Linked DNA regions of Oryctolagus cuniculus. The protein of the gene in region 1 interacts with the protein of each later gene in a pairwise test. Links are inferred from orthologs where the notes say so. Each region holds a gene or a part of one and is shown on either strand. Other genes may lie near its edges.

Region 1 (3,649 bases):
GGTAGTGACGGGGGGGGGCTCTCTCTCTGCTGGTAGTGACGGGGGGGTGGGGGGTGCTCTCCTCTGCTGGTAGTGACGGGGGGGGCTCTCTCTCTGCTGGTAGTGACGGGGGGGTGCTCTCTCTCTGCTGGTAGTGACGGGGGGGGGTGCTCTCCTCTCTGCTGGTAGTGACGGGGGGGTGCTCTCTCCTCTGCTGGTAGTGACGGGGGGGTGCTCTCCTCTCTGCTGGTAGTGACGGGGGGGTGCTCTCTCCTCTGCTGGTAGTGACGGGGGGGGTGCTCTCCTCTCTGCTGGTAGTGACGGGGGGGTGCTCTCTCCTCTGCTGGTAGTGACGGGGGGGGTGCTCTCTCTCTGCTGGTAGTGACGGGGGGGTGCTCTCCTCTCTGCTGGTAGTGACGGGGGGGTGCTCTCTCCTCTGCTGGTAGTGACGGCGGGGGGTGCTCTCTCCTCTCTGCTGGTTTGCGCACTGTGTGCCTCCAGCGGCCAGAGCTGAGCCAGGAACTGGGAACTCCGTCCAGGTCTCCCTCGTGGTGCGGGGCAGGAGCACTTGGTCCATCATCTGCTGCCTCCAGGATGCATCAGAGGGAGCAGCCGGGAGCTGACCGGGCTCTCAGACAGACGGAGGGGTCAGAGGGAGTGGCCGGGAGCTGACCGGGCTCTCAGACGGACGGGGGGTCTACTGTGCTCTTAACGCTTGCCATGTCTGTGTCTCCGTGTCCAGGTCTCAGTCCGGCACAGGCAAGACGGCCACCTTCAGTATATCTGTCCTCCAGTGCTTGGACATTCAGGTAATTTGAAACTTAAGGTCTGCTTTTTTTTTTTTTCCCCTTTTTTTAAAGGTTTATTTATTTGAAAGAGTGAGGCAGAGAGAGAGAGGTCTTCCATCCAATGGTTCACCCCCCAAATGATTCCAACAGCTGAAGCTGAGCCGATCTGAAGCCAGGAGCCAGGAGCTTCTTCCAGGTCTCCCACGTGGGTGCAGGGGCCCAGGGACTTGGGCCGTCCAGTGGTGTTTTCCCGGGCACGTTAGCAGGAAACCGGATTGGAAGTGGAGCATCTGGGACTCAAACCAGCATCCATATGTGATGCCAGCACCTCAGGCAGAGTCTTCGCCCACTACGCCACAGCACTAGCACCAAAGAGAATCTATTTATTTATTTATTTGACAGGCAGAGTGGACAGTGAGAGAGAGAGAAAGGTCTTCTTTTTCTGTTGGTTCACCGCCAATGGCCGCCGCGGCTGGCGCACCGCACTGATCAGGAGCCAGGTGCTCCCTCCTGGTCTGCAGTGCGGGTGCAGGGCCCAAGCACCTGGGCCATCCTCCACTGCCCTCCGGGGCCACAGTAGAGAGCTGGACTGGAAGAGGAGCAACCAGGACAGAATCCGGTGCCCCCCCCCCCCCCTTTAAGATTTATTTATTTATTTATTTGAGAGGAGTTACAGACGAGAGAGGGAGAGACAGAAACGTCTTCCATCGGCTGATTCACTGCCCCAAATGGCCGCAGTGCCCAGAGCTGTGCTGAACTGGAGCCAGGAGCTTCCTCTGGGTCTCCCTTGTGGGTGCAGGGGCCCAAGCACTTGGGCATCTTCCACTGCCTTCCCAGGCCATGACAGGGAGCTGGGTCAGAAGAGGAACAGCCGGGACCAGAACTGGTGCCCATACGGGATGCCAGCACTGCCGGTGGAGTCTTAGCCCCCTATGCCACAGAGCCAGCCCCAACGAGAACCTTAACTGCACAGTACCTGTCATGCATTCCTTTTGGTTTAAATGGAGGCTTTTTTTGTTCTGAACCCAGTCCGAACAGGTAAGCAGTGTTGCTGGATTTGTGGTTCAGATGTGGTTGAGATTGGCTCCCTCTGTTAGGAGTCAGAAGGAGGGTCGTACACGGTCGCGCAGCACCGATGACGGTGGTGTGGGCCGCGCAGGCTGTGTGGGGATGCTGAGGACGGCTGTCGCCTGTCGCGTTCTTTCACCAGGTCCGGGAGACGCAAGCTTTGATCTTGGCGCCCACCAGGGAGCTCGCGGTGCAGATTCAGAAGGTAAGACCCTGGCTGTGCTGATTGGGGGGTCGGATCTCATTTATTTTTTGTCTCCTCAAATTATTTGCCTGATTCCTATCATTTTGCCCTAAATCATCTGTTATATGAGTTATTGGATAGAATCAAATCATCATTTGTTATATGAGTGGCTGCTTAGAATCAAGTAATTTCTAGGATAGGCTGTGTGTTTTCAGGAGGTTTTTGTGGCCTTATAAATGTTAATTTTGTTTTTAAGGTTTATTTTACTTGAAAGTCAAAGTTAGAGAGAGAGGTCTTCCACCACTGGTTCACTCCCCAGATGGCCGCAACGGCTAGAGCTGGACCGATCCAAAGCCAGGAGCTTCTTCCGGGTCTCCCACGTGGGTGCAGGGGCCCAAGCACTTGGGCCATCTTCCACTGCTTTCCCAGGCCACAGGAGAGAGCTGGGTCGGAAGTGGAGCAGCCAGGACTTGAACCAGCACCCATATGGGATGCCAGCACTGCAGGTGGCGGTTTTACCTGCTATGCCACAGCACTGGCCCCATAAATATTAATTTTTTAACTAAAAAACTACTTTAATAATAAAATGTTTATACTTACATATCATATAGATTTTGGAAGGATGGACAGTAACGTTTGGGGTAGGTAGGAGTTTTATCTGTTTCCCACTCTAGTTAATATGTATTGATTTCCTAATAAGAAACAAGGTAAATGAACTTCATTTTGGTGGAAAGAGAGCAGAGAGGTTTTGTGGCTTTAGGGCATAGGTGGTAGCTGGTGACTGTCGTGGCCTGGGGTAGAAGGGCCCTCCTTGCCGTGGCTGACGTGGCCCTGTGCTGCCCCAGGGCCTGCTGGCGCTCGGGGACTACATGAACGTGCAGTGCCACGCCTGCATCGGGGGCACCAACGTGGGCGAGGACATCCGCAAGCTGGATTACGGGCAGCACGTGGTCGCCGGCACGCCGGGGCGCGTCTTCGGTGAGTGCTGGAGCCGTGCTGCCTGGGGGGTCTTTGCCCTGGGTCTCCCCTGGGGTGCGGGGAAGGTGTCTGAGACACCGTGAGAGAGGCTGGCCGGGCCCGCACTGCCCTGTGGTCCCAGGTCTGAGCGCCCCACGCACGTCTGGTCTTTCAGACATGATTCGTCGCAGAAGCTTAAGGACGCGCGCCATCAAGATGCTGGTGTTGGACGAGGCTGACGAGATGCTGAACAAGGGTACGGGCGGCACGAGGGTTTCTTTGCTGCTGACGCGAGTGCGGGGGGGCAGCTGGCTTGGGTCGGGCACGAGCGAAGGTTTTCATGCTGCGGTTTGTCAGGCCGGTCCCCGGCAGCACAGGAGCGCTTCAGGTCAGGTGGCCCGGCCCCCTGGTGGCTGTGGTGGGCCGCGTGGGCCGGTGCCGCGTGGAATTGAGATGCTGCTCACGGAGGTGTGGTGGTCGTCTGTAGAGGCTTCGCTTGCTCTCCTAGCCGCTGCACTGGGGGTGTGACTGTTCGTGCTGGGCCCTCGCTCGACAGACGTGCGGCTGGCGGTGTGGCACCATGGTAAGGCTGCTGCTTGTGGCCCTCCGTGCTGGCGTGGCAGCTACTCCGCTTCTCATCCAGACTCCTGCTGGCGTACCCAGGAAGGCAGTG
Region 2 (3,749 bases), on another chromosome or scaffold:
TGAGAAAGCAAATACATACATGAAATGCAGGGCTGGTTCTGTGCCATAGCAGGTAGAGTCACCGCCTGCAGTGCTAGCATCTTATATGGGCACCAGTTCGAATTCCGGCAGCTCCACTTCCAATCCAGCTCTCTGCTATGGCCTGGGAAGGCAGTGGAAGATGGCCCAAATCCTTGGGCCCCTGCACCCACATGGAGACCTGGAAGAAGCTCCAGGTTTCCAGCTCTGGATGGGCTCAGCTCAGGCTGTTGCAGCCATTTGGAGAGTGAACCAGCAGATGGAAGACATCTCTCTCTGTCTCTGTCTTTCAAATAAAAAAATAACTCTTCAAGAAATACATAAATCAATAAATGAAACGCACATCCTTTAGACTCAAAGTTATCAGGCACCTTCTCCCTGACTGGCACTCCATTTGGCCTCTTCATGTGGTAATCTCATTACATCATCACAACAATTTATTTTCTTGACAGGAAAATGTTTTCATTCAGTAATTATTTGATCACTCAGTTTGTGCCTGGCACCTAATCCCAAGGAAGAGGCCACACACATGATTCAGACGTACTTCCTGCCTCCAAGAGCCTAGGATCTAATAAGGGTGATTTATAATACCAATTAAATGTAATCAGTGTAATCGAAGACTTTAAGGTGGAACAAAACTGCCTCAAAGTTCAGATAAGGGAGTATTTCTTTCTGTCTGGGGGCGATCAAAGTTTGAGCTGACCCTTGAATGACAGGCAAGGTTTCAACAGCTAACAGCTAAAGCAGACCAAGAGATAAGAATAGCTCTAAGCCTGGCTTACCACATGGTTTGCAACTCACAATGGTTCAACTCGCAATTTTTCAATTTATGATGGCACAGGAAAGCAAAAAGCATTCAGCAGGAACAGTACTTGGAATTGTGGATTTGGATCCTTCCAGGGCTAGCGCTATGTGGCCTGGTCCCGTCTCAGAAGTCGGGCAGCAGAGAACACAGCTGCCAGTCAGCACTGTGACTCTGAGGGGAAACACCCAACACTCTACAGTGCCCTGGGCCCCCAAGCCATCAGCTTTGCTAGGCCAGGTGCGCTCAATGATTTTTGCACATGTTATTTTCAACCTATGAGGGGTTTACTGGGATCCAACCCCAGTGTAAGCTGGGGAGCATCTGCATGCTGTCTCAGAAGCTGTAAGTGTAACGGAATCACAGTGTTCAAAGGGAAAAGGACAGGGCCAGGGCCGCTGAGTGAAGATTCGTGCCTGCCTTCACCTCCCTCAGCCCCCGCTCCCATGTCTGCTGCAGCACTGCTCACAACAGACGAGACCCAGAACCGAGGGAGGGGCCATCATCTCAGGGACCGATCAAGAAAACGAGATACACGGACACCACGCAATGCTACTTGGCCATAAAAAGGGATGAGATCCTGTCATTTCCAACAACGTGGATGAGACCGGAGGTCGTGGAAAATGACGCCAGTCGGGCACAGAAAGACCAGACCCACGTGATCGCACTCACAGGTGGACTCTAAAAAAGTTAACTGCATAGAAGCTGCGAGTAGACAGCGACCATCAGAGGCTGGGGGTGGGGGCGGGGAAGGCTGGTTGGTAAGAGCTCCTCGGGCAGGAGCAAGAAGTTTCGGGGCTCTACCACACAGCAGGGCGACTATCGATAATGACCATGGGCTGTTTCTTTTCCGAAACAAACAACTACAAAAAAGATTTTGAACGTTTTCACCATGGAGAAATGCTACATGTTGGGGGAGACACGTCTGTTAACGCTGACATTACACAACGTACGCTTGCGCGGAAACGCCACAGAGTATCCCATAAATATAAATTAGAAAATTAAAAAAAAAAAAATTTTTAAAGGAAGCAGAACCACCCCAAACAGTTTACCCCGTCGGACCTCCCAGCTCCCGGGCGGCGCTTCGCTCGCGAGCCCGGCCCGGGTCTCCGCAGCCGGACACGGCTGCCGCGCCCGGGCCCCGCGGGAAGGGAGCCCGCGCTCGGCGCGGGGCTCAGGGCAGACGCCTGGGCGCGGCACGCCGGCGGCAACGAGCCGGCTCGGGAGCCCCTGCGTTATTAAGCCGGCCAGGCCCGTCGGGAGAGAGAAGGCCAGCGCCCCGTTCCTGAGGGAAGAGGCCAGGTCTGGGTCCCGAGCGGAGAGACAAGCTGGACGGAGACATGGGGACCCCGAGGCCTGTAGCATCACCTAGCTGTACTTACCGAAGAGGCTGCAACGTCCAGAGGCTTTTTCCTCCGATCCATAGTGGCGCCGGAGCGTCCCGGCCCACCGCCAGCTCTTCCTGAAGTCCCTCGGGTCTCACAGACTTACTTCCGGCGCAACCGGAAGTAGCTTTGACAGCGACTCTAAATCCCCGACGTCGGCGCCATCTTGTGAAGGTCTTAATGTGTGGCGCGTTTTACGTTCGCCGCCATATTGGGAAGGTAAGAGGGTGCCCGTGTTAGAGGACGGACTAGCGTTGGCGCCATCTTGAGAGAGGCTTTCCTTGCAAGGGACACCAACCATCTTGAGTGGGGAATGGGCGAGAGATGTGGATGGCGCCATCTTGAGGAGGGCCTGATAAATTCAAGATCTTCAGAATGGAAACAGCCGCTTAGGAGATTCGCAAAAATCCAAAACTTTGGAAGACTTGCTTTGTGCGAGGTCCTGTCTGGTGCTTTTCACGTGTTGATTAGTGGACTCTCGCAAAAGTCGTATTGGAGTAAATCCGTATTGCAGTATTGTCTTACACGTAACAGCTGTGTTAATAGCTGACATGAGTATGAGTATAGTGATCAGTTTTTTTTTGTTTTTTGTTTTTTGTTTTTTTACGTATTTTCTCGTAAGAACATTAACTCTAGCAGTGGGCACTGTGACACAGTGGGTTAAGTCACTGCTTGAGAGGGTGGTGTCTGGGTTGGATCCCCTCCCTGGTGCCACTTCCAATCCAGCTCCCTTCTAATGCACCTGGGAAGGCAGTGGAGAATGGCTGGAGGACTTGGGCCCCTGACACCCATATGGAAAACCTGGATAGAGCTCCTGGCTCCTGGCTCAGATATTGCAGCCCGTTGGGGAGTGAACCAGAAGATAGAAGATCTCTGTCTCTCCCTCGCTCTGTGGAAAGAACATGCACTCTAGAAACTGAGTTAGTGGGCTGGAGTCTCAGTTTCACCACTTACTGGGCTTTGTGACTTTGGGTAAGTTGCATTTTTCTGCACCTCAATTTCCAAAGGTGAATAAATTGTTTCTTCCTCGTTGAGATTATGAGAAGTAAATGAGTTAAGTGAGCTGGTCTTGTTAAAAATGTTAATGTCTGTGATAGACGGACTTGTGACACTCCCCCCCCCAAGATGTCTCCCTCCCAGCCGCCGCCCCCAACCCTCACCAATCTCTGAATCTACCAGTTAAAGGGAATTTACAGATGTGAGTCACTGACGCTGTTAAAATGGGGAGACTGTCCAGGTGGGCCCAGGCCACCACAGGAGTCCTAGTGAGAGGGGAGCAGAAGTTCAAAGTCTGTGAATGAGGTCAGAGGTGACCACACTGCAGGCTTTAAGGCGGGGGGAGGGGGCATGGCCAAGGGATGCAGGACGCCTCTGAAAGTTGGAGGAAAAGCAAGCAAACAAACAGAAAGAAATTCCTCATCCTCTAGGCTCTTCTGCGGTAGTGCACCATTACTGATATGTCATCTTAGCCTTAGCTCTAACATGCTGGCACGTGTTAGAGCTGGAACTTTTGGAACTACACCAGGATAAATCTGAGCTGTCTT
Region 3 (3,649 bases), on another chromosome or scaffold:
TATTCTTCTAAGCAAAATAAACTGCCTGCTAGTTGGTATTTTCATAAGTTCAGCCTGCAGATGGAAAATTGAATAATACTTTTATAAGGGGGTGCTTCAGAAAATCTGTGGAAAATGAGATTTAAAAATAAGTTTATTTTGGTGCAAAACAATTGAAATTCCATTCATTTTTTCATACTAATTTCAATGAATTTTTTGAAGACCCCTGAATGCTTAAAAAAAAAAAAAAAGTGATTTTTATTGCATTAAAATGCCAGAATGGGCGGAGCTGTGGCTTAGAGCATTAAGCAGCCTCCTGGAGAGCCAGCATCCTATGTGGGCACCTGCTGCAGACCTGGCTGCTCCACTTCCGATCCAGCTCCCTGCTAGTGTGCTTGGGAAAGCAGCAGCACATGACCTAGGTGCTTGGGTCCCTGCACCCATGTAGGAGACCCGGATGAAACTCCTGGCTCCTGGCTTTGGTTTGGGAGCCCAGCCCTGGCTGTTGTGACGTTTAGAGAATAAACCAGCAGATGCAAGATTGCTGTCTCTCTGCCCCTGCCTCTCCCTTTCAAATAAATAAATAAATCTTTAAATAAAATGCCAGATTTACTCCACATTGGTTGTTTTCTGCCTGTAATTTGGTGTTGTATGTAAGAAACCAAAAAAGTATTTAATCCCCTTATCTGCATGTAATTAGAAAAGGCATGCAATTAGATGATTTATAGTTCCTGTGCTTTTGATTTTTGAGTATAATCTTCATGTGAGTATAATTTTGATTTTTGATAAGTCTTAATTGTATACACACACACATATGTACCCTTAATTTAAGTATTAAGGAGTTCAAATATAGAGCCTGGACCAATTTTATTTTTAAATATATAAAAATAGATGGTTTGGTGTCCACAATGTGATGATTGCAGTGGTCTCCTTTAAGTAATTAAAGAATTAGTAATAGAAAAATTAAGGTATAAAAATAGTCAAGGTTCCAGGGCAGTTAATCAAGAAAAATAAATAAAAGGAATCTAGACTTGAAGAAGCAAAAGTAGCTCCATTCCTAGATAACAATGTATGTACAGAAAATACAAAGGACCCACAAAATAACCTCTTCTCCGACCAAAACCAAACTATTAAGCCATAAATGTATTGAACAGGGTTACAGACTATAATATGAATATACAGATTTCAGTTCTGTATTTATACAGTGGCAGTGTGATTGGAAATGAAATAAACAATTGCATTTACAACAGCATCAAAAAGTAAATATTTAGGAATAACTTTAATGGAAGGAATGCACATTTTGTTAACTGGGAGCTGCAAAATGTTGAAAGGAAGATAATAAAAATATCCCAGGTTTATAGATTATAAAGCTTAATATTGTTAATATGGTAAAACTCCCCAATATTAATATTTGGAGAAACTGTCATTTTATGGTATGTGAATAATGTCAATAAAAATGGATAAGATTAAAAACTGAAATAATATTACCAATATATCAATTTGAGGTAGACACTATTTGGGTATTTGTTTACTTAGAAGAAAAGGTTGGACAAAGATGATTTTCAGAAATGCATATATTTGTAATTTGTTATTTAAAAAGGCATGGAACCTGATATACTTTTTAGAGTTACATAACAGAACTAAATAGTTTTATAATTACAGAGTAAAACCCTTTATTTAAATGCCATGCTTTAAATGTCAGTTTCTTTTTTCTTTTTCTTTTTTTATTTTTTGACAGGCAGAGTGGACAGTGAGAGAGAGAGAGAGAAAGGTCTTCCTTTGCCATTGGTTCACCTTCCAATGGCTGCCGTGGTCGGCACGCTGCGGCCGGCACACGGCGCTGATCCGATGGCAGGAGCCAGGTGCTTCTCCTGGTCTCCCATAGGGTGCAGGGCCCAATGACTTGGGCCATCCTCCACTGCACTCCCTGGCCACAGCAGAGAGCTGGCCTGGAAGAGGGGCAACCGGGACAGAATCCGGCGCCCCGATGGGACTAGAACCTGGTGTGCTGGCGCCGCAAGGCGGAGGATTAGCCTAGTGAGCCACCGCGCCGGCCTAAATGTCAGTTTCCTAAAGCTTGATTATAGAAATTCATTAGGATGTATTATAGTTACCAATTTTATTTTACTTTTGATGAAAATATATTCCAGAAGTTGGAAGTAGGGGTTATTTAAAGTATTCAGTTGGTCCGCATTCATTGTTTGTTTACTGGATGCCAAGGTGATTACAATGGCAGTGTATAGGGAAGAACATTCCTAGTGGAGGGTCTCTGGAGCCACAGATACTACTGTACAGGTTTGAGTGAGGAAGTCAGTACTTACCTCTTCAGCTACAGCTTGAAGCCAAGTTACTGATGAATGTTTTTAGATAAAATCCTCCTTGTAAAAAAAATTCTTTATCTAGTAATGCCCCCATTAGTCTCATTATTTACACTGTTAAGATAATGCTGATAGAAGTGAACTGTCTTCTGCCATTTTAAACATTCATATTGAGACTTTCATTTAGTGCCCTCTACTGGTATTTAAAATCCTTTGTTTTTAGTGGGGAGTACTGAAGCATTATGGTGACCATTTAGACCATGAGCATTTTTAACCTACTTATACTCAGTGATTCAGACACACTGAAGGATTGCATTTGCCTCATAATTATGAACCATTTTAAACTTGGTGATTTTTTAATTATTTAAAAAGTTATGGTATCATTCCAGTCTGTATGGTGTTAGTTCATGACCTATTTGATCACGTAACATATGGGATAAGGGTAAATAAATCCTTTAGGCAAGCGTGACTTTCCAAAAGTCAGGAATTCTAACACATCCCAACTTTCCAATCTTATAGATTGATATGCTGCTGAAAGAGTATTTACTCTCTGGAGACATTTCCGAAGCAGAACATTGTCTTAAGGAATTGGAAGTACCTCATTTTCACCATGAGCTTGTGTATGAAGTAAGATTACTTTTCCATGCCAAGAAGATTGACTAGTGCCCCTTTTTGTGCCTGTAACTGAATGTTTCTTTAACATTACATTTTTTTTTTTTAAGATTGAGAAAGTGGTTTGTAAATTTTTGTAATGACCATAAAATCCCAGTCGTGCATGGTTAAAGAAAAGGGATCTGATGCATTTTCAGAATTTTTATATGAATTAATAATGAAAACTTGTTCTTTTATTCAATTTTTAGGCTATTGTAATGGTTTTAGAGTCAACTGGAGAAAGTACATTTAGGATGATTTTGGATTTGTTAAAATCCCTTTGGAAGTCTTATACCATTACTGTAGACCAAATGAAAAGAGTAAGTACCTAATTACTTTGAACAATTAATTTAGAATTCAACCTTAAATACATTACCGAATAAAGACTATCAGTGGAATTTTCTTTCAGGCATGTTTAGTATTATGCCTATAGGTTCCATGTTGGCTGTTTTCCCTTGGGCTCGGTTGAATCCAGGCACTCCACTGTGGGACACACACTGTGGGTGTGTGTCTTCATTTATTTTTGATTTTTTTAAAAAAGATTTATTCATTTGAAAGAGTTACAGAGAGAGAGACAGAGAGAGAGGTCTTCCATCTGCTGGTTCACTCCCCAGATGGCTGCAACAGCTGGAGCTGTGCCGATCCAAAGCCAGGAGCCAGGAGCCAGGAGCCACCTCCTGATCTCCCACATGAGTGAAGGG

What was found.
Region 2: the proteins of EIF4A3 (region 1) and CCDC174 interact in binary tests that used the Homo sapiens proteins (3 or more experiments, as listed by UniProt). The two-hybrid records come from large-scale screens. The link is inferred for Oryctolagus cuniculus from reciprocal best matches to the Homo sapiens genes EIF4A3 and CCDC174.
Region 3: the proteins of EIF4A3 (region 1) and PDCD4 interact in binary tests that used the Homo sapiens proteins (3 or more experiments, as listed by UniProt). The two-hybrid records come from large-scale screens. The link is inferred for Oryctolagus cuniculus from reciprocal best matches to the Homo sapiens genes EIF4A3 and PDCD4.

What each region holds. Positions count from the first base shown.
Region 1 is NC_091448.1:2,080,297-2,083,945, forward strand, and holds part of EIF4A3 (eukaryotic initiation factor 4A-III), read left to right. Parts: intron 1-721; coding exon 722-788; intron 789-1,977; coding exon 1,978-2,040; intron 2,041-2,864; coding exon 2,865-2,997; intron 2,998-3,151; coding exon 3,152-3,232; intron 3,233-3,649. UniProt on the Homo sapiens protein: ATP-dependent RNA helicase. Involved in pre-mRNA splicing as component of the spliceosome. Core component of the splicing-dependent multiprotein exon junction complex (EJC) deposited at splice junctions on mRNAs.
Region 2 is NC_091441.1:113,440,449-113,444,197, reverse strand, and holds the start of CCDC174 (coiled-coil domain-containing protein 174), read right to left. Parts: upstream 2,343-3,749; 5' UTR 2,245-2,342; coding exon 2,203-2,244; intron 1-2,202. UniProt on the Homo sapiens protein: Probably involved in neuronal development.
Region 3 is NC_091446.1:19,357,514-19,361,162, reverse strand, and holds part of PDCD4 (programmed cell death protein 4), read left to right. Parts: intron 1-2,816; coding exon 2,817-2,924; intron 2,925-3,157; coding exon 3,158-3,268; intron 3,269-3,649. UniProt on the Homo sapiens protein: Inhibits translation initiation and cap-dependent translation. May excert its function by hindering the interaction between EIF4A1 and EIF4G. Inhibits the helicase activity of EIF4A. Modulates the activation of JUN kinase.